Linked DNA regions of Rattus norvegicus. The protein of the gene in region 1 interacts with the protein of each later gene in a pairwise test. Links are inferred from orthologs where the notes say so. Each region holds a gene or a part of one and is shown on either strand. Other genes may lie near its edges.

What was found. The genes of interacting proteins can lie anywhere in the genome.
Region 2: the proteins of Fxr2 (region 1) and Nme1 interact in binary tests that used the Homo sapiens proteins (3 or more experiments, as listed by UniProt). The link is inferred for Rattus norvegicus from reciprocal best matches to the Homo sapiens genes FXR2 and NME1.
Region 3: the proteins of Fxr2 (region 1) and Fbp1 interact in binary tests that used the Homo sapiens proteins (3 or more experiments, as listed by UniProt). The two-hybrid records come from large-scale screens. The link is inferred for Rattus norvegicus from reciprocal best matches to the Homo sapiens genes FXR2 and FBP1.

The regions. Positions count from the first base shown.
Region 1 is NC_086028.1:54,848,128-54,852,529, reverse strand, and holds the start of Fxr2 (RNA-binding protein FXR2), read right to left. Parts: upstream 2,862-4,402; 5' UTR 2,843-2,861; coding exon 2,762-2,842; intron 1-2,761. UniProt on the Homo sapiens protein: mRNA-binding protein that acts as a regulator of mRNAs translation and/or stability, and which is required for adult hippocampal neurogenesis. Specifically binds to AU-rich elements (AREs) in the 3'-UTR of target mRNAs.
Region 2 is NC_086028.1:79,403,413-79,406,994, reverse strand, and holds the end of Nme1 (nucleoside diphosphate kinase A), read left to right. Parts: intron 1-1,962; coding exon 1,963-2,075; intron 2,076-2,770; coding exon 2,771-2,888; 3' UTR 2,889-3,055; downstream 3,056-3,582. UniProt on the Homo sapiens protein: Major role in the synthesis of nucleoside triphosphates other than ATP. The ATP gamma phosphate is transferred to the NDP beta phosphate via a ping-pong mechanism, using a phosphorylated active-site intermediate.
Region 3 is NC_086035.1:2,223,588-2,227,233, forward strand, and holds part of Fbp1 (fructose-1,6-bisphosphatase 1), read left to right. Parts: intron 1-1,737; coding exon 1,738-1,900; intron 1,901-3,646. UniProt on the Homo sapiens protein: Catalyzes the hydrolysis of fructose 1,6-bisphosphate to fructose 6-phosphate in the presence of divalent cations, acting as a rate-limiting enzyme in gluconeogenesis. Plays a role in regulating glucose sensing and insulin secretion of pancreatic beta-cells.

The DNA.
Region 1 (4,402 bases):
CAGATCTGGTATCTATAGGCCCTAGGAAAAAAATCAAAGTAAAACACAGTTTTTTGAAAGGAGAAAGGGATCTCCCCAAACTTAAAAAGATCTAAAAGACAGTTAATACTCCCTTACTCACATCAAAGTTTGCTGAGTCATGAATATTAATCAACTTGGAATACGCAAGTATCTACAGTGTACACTGAGTTTAAAAAGGATTAGTCTAATTTTAGGGAATTGCCTTTTACTCAGTCATGGAGCAGAAAGTGAAGTGGCCAGAACACAAAATCTATGTTATTTGGCTTTTATTCAACTGTTAACTCTATACTATCAAAGAATCCTGTCTCTGCTTCACTCAAATCTATCACTGCTATGGCCCATAGGCCCATAGGATAAAATGACAAAAGTCAAAAGAGACTTTCTGTTTGCTACCCATATGTGTAACAGAAAACATGTCCCTTTGCAACCACTTCATACAGTTAATTTGAACTGAGCACTGATCTGTCCCATGTCCCAGCTGCGCATGGCTTCCATGCTTCCTTAAACCAAAAGCAAATATCTTATCTTGATCTCACACTCAATTGAAGAATCACTTTTCAAACTAGGAGTGGTTGTGGATGCTGCTTTTAATCCCAGCACTCAACAAAGGCAAACCTATCTCAGTGAGTTTGAGTTCAGGGCAGCCAAAGCTACAAAGAGAAATCCTGTCCCCAAAAATCAAAGCAAAGAAAAAAAAAAAAAAAAAAAAAGGAAAAGAAAAATATGATATAGATATATATATAGATATATATATACATATCTCACTTTTCTTGGAATTTAACATTTTGGGGTGAGAAAGATACAGATGAAGGCTAACATATCAAGAAAAATAGAACTAACAACTTATAGAGTACTTTTTGGTTTTGTTTGGGTTGTTTTTTCAGTCTGATTTCATTCTCCACACTAGTTTTGAACTTCAACAATCCTACTTCAGTCTTCCAAGTCCTAGGATTAGAGTAGGCACCACCATACCCAGCCTGAGGACACTTTTAACAAAGGTAATACAAATGTGGGGGAAAGGAGCCCCAGAGCCCCATCAGAGCCCAAAAGGAATTAAGAGACTTTTGCTACAGAAAACAGAAATGTTACAAAGACATTCTTCTAGTAAGAAAAAAAGTACCAAGAGTTAGGAAAGTGACAGGGAACCTTCTTCAGCTATACAAAGGATAGATAGGTGGACCTCAATGAGGATCCACAGGAGTACAAAAGTACCAAGACTTAATTGAGAGGCTAAATTAAAGCTAGGAGATATGTGTACCCATAGGCACTGGGTGAAGAACGTGATCAGAAAAGGGGAAATTGCCATGGCCTTCACAGTGGGTAACTAACGGGTCAGTTGAAGTGGGGGTAGGAAACACCTACAGAGGCGGGGCAGACCCGTCCCTTTTCAGCTACAAAAAGATACAATTTCATAGTAGTCAAAGTTATTTCCAAGGGCATGAGAAAGTAGAAAGTTCTACTAGGGTAGGGGGACAGACAACCAGAAGAAACATGAAGGAAAAAGGAATCTCATCTCCCATCTAATGCTATGAAAATTCTTCTTCTCCAGAATGAAAGGAGTAAGAGAGGAACCAAAATTTCCAGGACAATTCCATCCAAAAAAATGCAGAAGAGGTTCAGAACCCCACAAGATCAGATGAAGAAAATACCTGAGGGGTGAGAAGAATCAGTCTGAATCTAAATTAGGGGTGAAGGGGATCCAGAATGGACTCAGATACAGAAGATGGGGTGGATAATGGATAGAAAGAAAAAACAAAAGTTCTGGTCTGGCATGGTGGCTCAATCTATAATCCCAGAACTGTAACCCTAGGCTGAGGAAGGAGTACAGAAGAGTTCAAGTCCAGCCAGGGAATCTTGTCCCAACCACACCCCTCAAAAAAGTTCACAGGAATCAAATCTTGGACAAAGAAAAAGCTGAAATAAGCAATTCTGAAAGCTACTTTTTTCTTTCCAAAAAGACTGTCAACAAGCAGAAATCAGAAGAACAGAAGCATGTGGAGATGGCCTTTTAGAGATGGTGAGGCTTAAACTTACCAAGAAGATATAGGAATGACCTAAATACATCTAGAGTCAAAGAGATAAAACACGAATCCATCCCTGGAGAGCTGGCTTTGGTATAAAGGTGTGGTAGGTGACAGACTTGTCCAACAAATCCACTAAATGGCTGGCTGGCTGGCTGATAAAACCTGAGGCCAAAGATGCTAAAGTAACAAATGGGTTCTGACCATTTCTTGTCAGACTGGGAACAGGAATGTAAGATGAAAGTTGAGCAAATGGTTCTAGAGCCAGTAGGCAAAGAAGCCTCCCTGAAGACCGAAGACCTAATATGGCACAGTGGACCTTCACAAGGGGGTCATGTAGGAAAAGAAAGGGAATCCTCCATGTGCTTGGCTGTAGGGGAGATGTGATTAAAAGCTGAAGTATCTCCTACACTAAAAAACAAGAAAAGTCGATTAGAAGCTAAGAAAAGGGGTTTCTCCAGGGTTCCCATCCACGCATAGTAATGACCTGATGTTCATGCCTTCAGCTGAGGATAAAAGCAGGTGTAATAGCGGGCTCAAAAATAAAAGCACGAGGGTTAACTCCCACGATCTCCCCGGGAGGGTTTCGAGTGGGAACGTGGGTCGAAGGTTCGAAGGGTCAGGACTAAGCTCCAGAAACTCGATCCCGCTGCACTCTTCCCTGCCTCGGCTGGGGGAGGGGGCTAAGGAGTGTGTCCCGGGTCGACGCGCCGTCTCACCTTGTAGAAGGCCCCGTTGGAGCCCCGCACCTCGACGGGCAGTCCCGGCTCCACATCCCCCCCAGAGGCCAGGCCGCCCATGGCGCCGCCACCACCTCCGACTGCCCCGGCAGCAGCTGAAACAGAGCCCTGAGTGCGGGCCGGGCCGGGCCCCCGGCGTCTCCCAGGAGGAGGAGCCGGAGGGGGAGCCGCGGGGGGCGGGAGCCGGGCCGGCCCCACGGCGGCCCTGCTACAGCCGACGAGCAGGGGGCCGGGGCCGGGCCGCTCCCCGTCCGCCGCCGCCGCTGCCTTGGTCTCCGCCACCGTGAGGGAAACGGCCGCCGCCGCCGCCGCCTTCGTCACCTCAGCTTCCGCCCGCCGGCGCCCCCGCTGCTGCCTCAGTCCCGGGACCCGCTGCTGCCGCTGCCGCTCCACGGCCTCCACCTCCCCCTGCCGCCGCCGCCTACTGCGCAGGCGCACAGGGCACCCGCCCGCCGCGCGCGGAGCCGGAGGGCCAAGGCGCAGGCGTCTAGGCTAGCGACCTAGCTCCCGCTCGCCAGCGCGTCAGGGCTTCCACATTCTCTTGCACTCTCTCACGCCCCCTCCTGGTCGCGTCTCTGCGCTTGCGCAGAACGAGATGAGCGCTCTATCTGTACCGCTCCAACCTTCCACTGTCCCTGTCCCTTCCTTTCCCCGCCCCACAACACTGGAAGCAAACCAATCAAGGGAAGAGAGGGGCCGCGCTCGCTCCGTCGGATTGGACTTCCGCCTCCACAAAGTGAGCCCCCATGGAGCCTGGGCAATTTAGGGATGGGCATGCGCCGGAATGACTGCTTGGTCACTTTCACCACCTTTGTCTTTCTCGGTGCGCACACTCCAAAGGGGGGCTGGGAGGGTTGGGACCGAAAGGAAAAAAACTGCCCAGTGCGCAGGCGCTGGGCTTTGGTGTCCATGCGCATGTGTTGACTCTCTGCATCCGTAGGAGAATCAAGAGTCACGGTTCTTGGCTTGAGTAGATTTTTTTTTTTTTAAGTTTTGTGAGACAGGGTCTCCTGTATCCTAGGCTGACCGTGTAGTGCGGGAATGACCTTGAATTCCTGATCCTCCAACCTTCGCCTCCCAAGTGCAAAAATTACAGGCATGTCATTTCCATGCTTGCCCTAAGTTGATTCTAATATTCTAGTAAACTCAATGCCCTGTGAAAAACAAAGTGCCACATAACCTGATACATAAATGCTGAGGAGATTCAAAACAGGAAAAATTGTCACAGAGTAACTAAAACATCCTGGCCTGGAAAGATGGCTCAACTATCAACCTTAACAACTGGAGTTGTATTCCTAGACCCACAAGATGGAAGGAGATATCCCCCACCTCCTGCAAGTTGTCTCCTGACCATCACACATATGACATCATTCATGGTCACCCACACATATAACAGAATTTCTTTTTAAGTAAAAATAAGGAATGTTAAGTGGAGAGATGTCAGCTAGGGGCTGGAGTGATGGCTCAGTGGTTAGAGCGCTGACTGCTCTTCCAGAGGTCCTGAGTTCAATTCCCAGCAACCACATGGTGGTTCACAACCATCTGTAATGGGATCTGATGCCCTCTTCTGGTGCATCTGAAGACAGCTACAATGTACTCAGGGGCCTCTGCCTCCCCCGT
Region 2 (3,582 bases), about 25 Mb from region 1:
GGATTTGGTTTATTTCAATATCATTTAATTGATTGATTCTTAACCTGTGGGTCAAGACCCCTTTGGGGTCGAATGACCTTTTACAGGGGTCGCCTAAGATGATTAGAAAACATAGATATTTACATTATGATTCATAATAGTAGCAAAGTTATAGTTATGAAATAGCAACAAAAATAATCTTATGGTTGGGGTCACCATATGCAAACTATATATATATATATTTTTTTTTTCTCTTTTTCGGAGCTGGGGACCGAACCCAGGGCCTTGCGCTTGCTAGGCAAGCGCTCTACCACTGAGCTAAATCCCCAACCCCATGCAAACTATATTTTAAAGGGTTGCAGCATCAGGAAGGTTGAGAACCACTGACTTAAGCAAGAATGAGCTTGGTATCTCTATGTCAAGCCCCTTCCTACATACTTTAGATACAGTTTTGAGACAAAATGGGTATCTGTTTTCATTCTTTCTTTCTAAAAATGATTTATTGAGACAGGGTCTTAATATGTAGGCTAGCCTTGTGTCCTGAAATTTAGCATGTAGTTTAGGCTGGCCTCAGGTAGTCCACACTGCCCTGGAGCTTTTGATTCTTCCACTGAGAGTGTATTGGCTCATCGCACCAGACACAACTTTGCTTTTTAAAGTACAGAAAGAAGGTTGGATTGGATGGTAAGAGGAGGATGGGGTGAGAAGTGCTCAGGGAGCACATGATGTCAGGGTTTGCTGTTATGTTACCAGGGCTGGGAAGGTATGGGAGGTACCAGACTTAGCTTTTTATTTATTTGTTCTGGTCTTTTGAGACAGGGTCAGTCTTAGTCACTGTCCTCTTACTGTGAAAAGACACCATGGCCAAGGCAGCTCTTATAAAGGAAAGCATCTCATTAGAGCTGTCTACAGTTCCAGTGGGTTAGTCCATTATCATCATGGCAGGCAAGCCCGTCTGTGTGCAGGCAGACATGGTGCTGGAGAAATTGAGAGTTCTACATCCAGATCTGAAGGCCCCAGGAAAAGGGAGCCATTGGGTCTGGCTTGGGCTTTTAAAACTCAAAGCGCACCCCAAGTGACACACTTCTTCCAACAAGGCCATATCTACTAATCCTTCTCAAGAAGTGCCACTCCCTGGTGCTTAAGCATTCAAATCTGTATAAGCCTTTAGGGCCATTTTTATTTGAACTACCACATTTCACTTTCTGGCCTCATAGACCTGTAGCCCAATCTTAATGCAAAAATGCATTCAGTTCAACTTCAAAAGTCCCCACAGTCCATCAGTATCAGCAGTGTTTCAAAGTCCTAAGTTCAGAGTCTCTTCTGAGACTCAAGGCGGCCTCCTGTCACCCGTCAAATAAAAATGAAAAGGCATGTCACATCCTTTCCACATACCATGACATAGAACATACATTGCCATTCCAAAAAGGAGGAAAGTGAGGCAATCCTGAACCAAAGCAAGACCTAAACCCAGCAGGACAAACTCCACACTCTGCATCGCCGTGTCTGATGCCAACGTGCGCTTTGATCTCCTGCTCCTTTCCGTATTGACTGGGACACACTTCTGTCTTGAGCTGGTTCTACACCCCATGTGCAGCGTTCCTTGGCAGGTATCCCACGACACTGGCATCTCTGATATCTTGGGGTTTCCAACATAGGGTCTTTCTACGAAGCCCTGGCTGTGTCTTGGAATACTCTATGTAGATCAGGCTGGCCCTACTGAGATCCACCTGCCTCTACCTCTGGGGTGGTGGGATAACCTCAGTGCCATTAAGAAGGTTGCTGGCTGCCACCTGGATGGATCTGAATTGATCTTAGGAGTAGGGCCAGGTGACCAGCATCCTTAGTACTGGCATAAGTAGGCATTCTGTTTGTCTAGTTGAATGAGGGAGTCCTAGAGCCTTTTGTTTTGAATTACCAGCTACCAGGTTTTCTACTGAGAGAGTTTTTCTTCCTTGACTGTGTCTTCTGTTGTCCTTGGAGGTCTGGGAGGGACTGAATGTTGTGAAGACAGGCCGGGTGATGCTTGGAGAGACCAACCCCGCAGACTCTAAGCCTGGGACCATACGAGGAGACTTTTGCATTCAAGTTGGCAGGTAAGAATCGATGCTTTTCACCCCTTTCCCAAATCTAAGCTAGTTGCCACAAGAATTTGGGCTTCTGAGTCTAGAGATGAACATGATATCATCTGCGGGTCAATTCATTTTATTTTAGCCTTTAAAGTTCATCTTTATTTTTCACTTTTCTGTATGTGTATGGATAGTTTGCCTGCATGATGTGTACTTTCATGACTGGTGCCCAAGGAACTGGGGTCCCCTGAACTGGAGTTACAGATAGTTGTGAGCCCCGTGTGAATCCTGGGAACTAAACCCAGGTTCTCTAGAGGACCAGCCAGTGCTCTTAAAACTGAGCCGTCTCTTCAGCCTTTAGTTTAGTTGTTTCCTCGAGACAATGTCCCAAGTAGGCTAGCTGGCCTCCAAATTGCTATGTAGCTGAGGCTATTCTTGAATTCCTGATACTCCCAACCTCCACCCCTCTCTCAAATGCTGGGAATACAGGCACTGGCCACTGCACCAGGTTTCAGTCACTTTTAAACATGAATTTTGTCTTCTTGCCTCTGAAGGTGGAAGCTGACTTGGAGGGAGGGTCCCCCATATTTGCTTGGTCCCAGTGGCTATGCCTTTCTTGAACAGAGAGCCTGGCCAGCATCGGCTATCAAAAGCCGAGTGCAAGGGGCTGTGGGCAAGTTCATTCTTCCCGTTTGGTAACACCATTCCCTCTCTCCACCCAGGAACATCATTCATGGCAGCGATTCTGTGGAGAGTGCGGAGAAGGAGATCAGTTTGTGGTTTCAGCCTGAGGAGCTGGTGGACTACAAGAGCTGTGCGCAGAACTGGATCTATGAGTGACAGCAGGGCCCCTGCTTTTTTTCTGTCTACTGACCCTTGATCTCACAGGCAGGGGAGCAGCAGCTCTAGATCTTTCTGGAACTTCTCTGAACTGGAAGAAGCCTCTGGGCGCTGTGACTCCCTGTGCAGTGTTAAGTGCCACTGGTAGATTAAAGTGTTTTGTCTGTACTTTTGTATTGCTGTATTGCTCTGCCCTGCTTACCTCCTCTTCAGGCTTCTGGGTAACCCAAGCGGACAGAATGTAAATGCTATGCAAATTACTTATATTGGCCTCGCGTGCACACAGAGATTCCTTTCATTGTCCTTGTGGTTTGAGCCAGCGCCCTGGGACGAGGAGGCGTTTCTTTGCCTATTTCCCTTCCCATCCCCTGCATCCTGTTCTCTCCTGGCATCCAGTCAGACAGCAGTTTCTGTGAGGATGTGTGAAGATGTTAAAACTGTTCTAGGAGCAGGGATTCATCAGAAATAAAGATGCCAACCGAAGCCTGTTGGCCCAGGTCTGTAATTCCAACACTCAGGAGACAGAGGCAGGAGGATTATGAGTTCCAGGCCAGCTTGGACTATATAGTGAAACCTTGTCAAACGAAACAAATCAAAATAGCTGGGTGTAGTGGAGCATGCCTTTTAATCCCAGCACTCAGGAGGCAGAGGCACTCAAGTCTGTGTGAGTTCAAGGTCAGCCTAGTCTAGATAG
Region 3 (3,646 bases), on another chromosome or scaffold:
TGTACAGTGCACCTATGAGTTTAGAGGTTTCTGAAAGAGGCAGACCCTCACTGGAGATGAAAAAGAGCTCTGATGGAGGAGCAGTGTCGTCTAGTGGCCACTGCACTAAGGTGAATGGGAGTCCTGGAGGTGTTGGGTGACACTGGTACCTTGGCGGCACAGACCCTGTTGAGTGTTAATTGGGCTGAAAGAGTCTTTTCATGAACAGGCAGCATGTCTCTGTGACTCTTGACTTCCTGTACACTGGCTTCTCTGTGACCCCAGGGTCAAGCCCTCTAAGATCCTGGAGCAAGTGTGGAGTATGAGCTTGACCGATGAAGCCACCTCTGCTGACACCACTGTAACCTCTCATAGCCCAGGGCAGGGTGACAGTCCCAGGGCTCCCGTTATTTACGGTCTGCCCACACATTGAAGCTGAATGCTCAGAAAAATGAGCTGAGTGGCCACTGTCTTTACCACATCTCAGGATCTGGTCATCACGGGAGAAAGACGTCAAAAGTTTTAAAAAGCTATTTCTACGGATGTTTATACAGCACACAGCCCCTTTCTGGAAAAACGGACTATCTCTCCTGAATTGATTATGTAACTTTGCTTTGTAGTCATTGCTGATTGGTGAATTCAGGCTTCTTCAGGGATTTGGGGTATCTTCTCTTTCAAACACAAAAACCAACCAACCAACCAACCAACCAACCAACCAACCAACCACTCTAAATTTCATGCACTTGGAAGTCCAGCATTGAGTGCCTTTCTGACCATCTAAATTAATTACCCACCTGCTACCTGACATCCATAGCTGCTCTCTCACCATCGCACTCATTTGGAAACAGCCATTTTCTGATTTGTCTTTTCTCACAGCAATATTAAGCTCCCTGGGGCCAGGGGTCTGGTCTGCCCTGTTCAGCAATGCTGCCCTAGCACAGTAGGTTCCCAGAAAGTTATTTGTAGTATTTAAGAAGACTCCCCACAAACTCACCTTGCTGCAGTGTAAGTTTCAAGGGATCATGTGCCAGGAGCCTAGCCCTCAGTATGCCGGTTGTGTCTAGCAGTGGTGGTACCTTTAAGAGGTGGGGCCCAGTGGGAGATGGAAAGCTGGCCCCTCCCCCTCGTGCTGGCTTCTTGCCTCACCAGCCAGGGCTCCTTTTCCCAGGCACTCTATTGTCATCCACCACAAAAGGGTTCTTATCAAAGCTGGTGTTTGTAGCTTCCGTCTCTCGTCTCTCGTCTCTCTCACTGGAAGCTCAATACCGGTTCAGGTTCTCCACACAGTTGTGACAAACTGCAGGAAGGTGCCTGTCTGCAGTGCCCCAAAACCTTTGCCTGCCCCAACTCTTAAGGCTCCTCAGAATCAGATCTCCCATCTGTATTCCTGAGGTGCCAAGGGCTGCGCTGAGTCCGTCCCCCCCCCCCGTGTGTGTGTGTGTGTGTGTGTGTGTGTGTGTGTGTGTGTGTGTGTTTTCTAATGGCAGCCTCACTCGCAAGATGCCATTCCTTCTGTGCACACCGGGAAGAGAGGGAGACTCAGAGACCAGAGATTCACAGAGCTGAGGTTTGCACGTGGTGGGGGTGAGGCGAGGCGAGGCGAGGCGAGGCTGTCATTGGCATCTTTAGGCTCCATCTTCTCCTGTCAGTACCGTTCCCCTTCTGATTTAGCAGTGGCCTTGATGGCGGCAACTTTAATCTAGAGGGAGAAAAGCTGTCCTCATGGGGCTCATCTTCTGTGGTTTTTCTTCCCTCTAGCTATGGCATCGCTGGCTCAACCAATGTGACTGGGGATCAAGTGAAGAAGCTGGACATACTTTCCAATGACCTGGTGATCAATATGCTGAAGTCGTCCTATGCTACCTGTGTCCTTGTGTCGGAAGAAGATACACACGCCATCATAATAGAGCCCGAGAAGAGGGTGGGTCTGTGTTTACACCCCTGAAGGCTTGCATGTGGCCATTTTCCTCCTCGGCACTGTGGAAGATCTCATTCACTTTTCTAAGCTACCATTACCAAGCTCCCTTTCTGTTCTGTCTTCCCACCATCCCATCCCAAACCTCTCCTCTGAACGTGGTCCCAGAGGCTCCATTGATCCTGCCCTCCCCATTTCTCCAGGGTGTGTCTGCGTCACTGCCGTGTTTAGGGATCGTAAAAGCCTGGTTCATCATGACCAATCTCCAGCCTTCGTGTTAGACCCACCGCCAAGCTGAGCTGCCTCCATTTTTTTTTTTTTTTCCATCCCTGGCTCAGGTACTGGGATTCTCTGGTGCTCAGATTGCTTTGTGAGGGCAGAGAACAAGCAATAATCTGTACATCCCAGCCTCTAGCTCCACACCAGCATATTGTAGGACTCAATGATAAACCATTGGGGGAAGATGGAGCAACTGCTCGGGATGTGTTCAACACCGCACTCCTGGGGGAATTTGAGAGTGGCATGCTACAGGGTAGGTTTATTCGGCTTCTATTCCAACAGTAGCTAGTCCTACTTACCGTCTTTCCTCATCCAGGTGAACTGAGGGCATGGAAGAGTAGAACTGGGAAAGAAAATCTAAATGCCCAGCTCGTCTTGACCTTAGTGAGAGGCAAGAAGCCAGCCTAAAGTGACCTGCTCTACAGCCCTTGTAAAGCATGACTACATGCCACAGAAGTCCCCCATCTTCTCCGAAGTGTTGGTCAATTCTCCAGCACTGCCCCTCTCCCCCATCCCCTCCACCCCTGGTGATATGCCATCATGGTGGCTGCTGTCTCATTTTCCAGTCTACAGTTTCCTGCACCTGTAGAAATGCTTTGTTAAGAACAGGCAATGGGAGAGTCCCCTGACTCTGGCAGCACACTGAACACCCCTCCACATCTAAAGACGCCGAGTCGGAGATGGGAATTTCCCAGTGATGAGCTGGTAAACTGGCTCATCACTGGGAAATGTTCGGTCTTGGCCTGCAAGCACGCTGTCACTGTAGTGTCCCTGACAGAGCTTGGAAGAGCCTGTTCAATGAGCTCTCGTGAGCTGAAGCTGGTCAGCCCGGGTGCCACAGATGCTGGGCTGACACCATAGCAGAGGGCCACTTCCTACTTCCTCCAGGAGTCATGGCAGGGATTTTGTTGAGAAATCTGTGCACGACAGTGTAGAATATCTGTAGAGAGAGTCAGCAAAAAAGCCGATGGCCAATGAGCTGAGGCGGGAAATAGGAGGGGGGACACTGGCAGGAAGAGAGGATTCCGGGGAATAGTAAGAGATAAAAGAGAGACACAGGGAGAGCCAAGAGAGATGAGACAGGAGACAGACCCAGGAGACATAGACCAGCAGATAAATGAACCTAGGGAGATGAGAAGGAATAAGTGGACTGGGTAATTAACCACGTGGTAGATATCGAATAGTTTAAATGGGTTAAATAAGTCATGAGCTCATCAGGGAATGAACCAAAGCTTATGGCCAAGGCATTTAATAATAACTAACCTCAGAGTCTGTGAAGGAACAATGGATAGAATACGTTTACAAATAGTGCTGAAAGTGAGACGCCATTTGTAATAATTTAATAATCGTTTTTTTTCTCTTTCAATTTCTGCTCCGGGATGACAACTCTGAGATTAAATATTTATTAACAAATACCCAGGCTATAAGCTTTAGCTCCTTCCTGGCTAGCTGATAACTTATTTAACCGTTTAA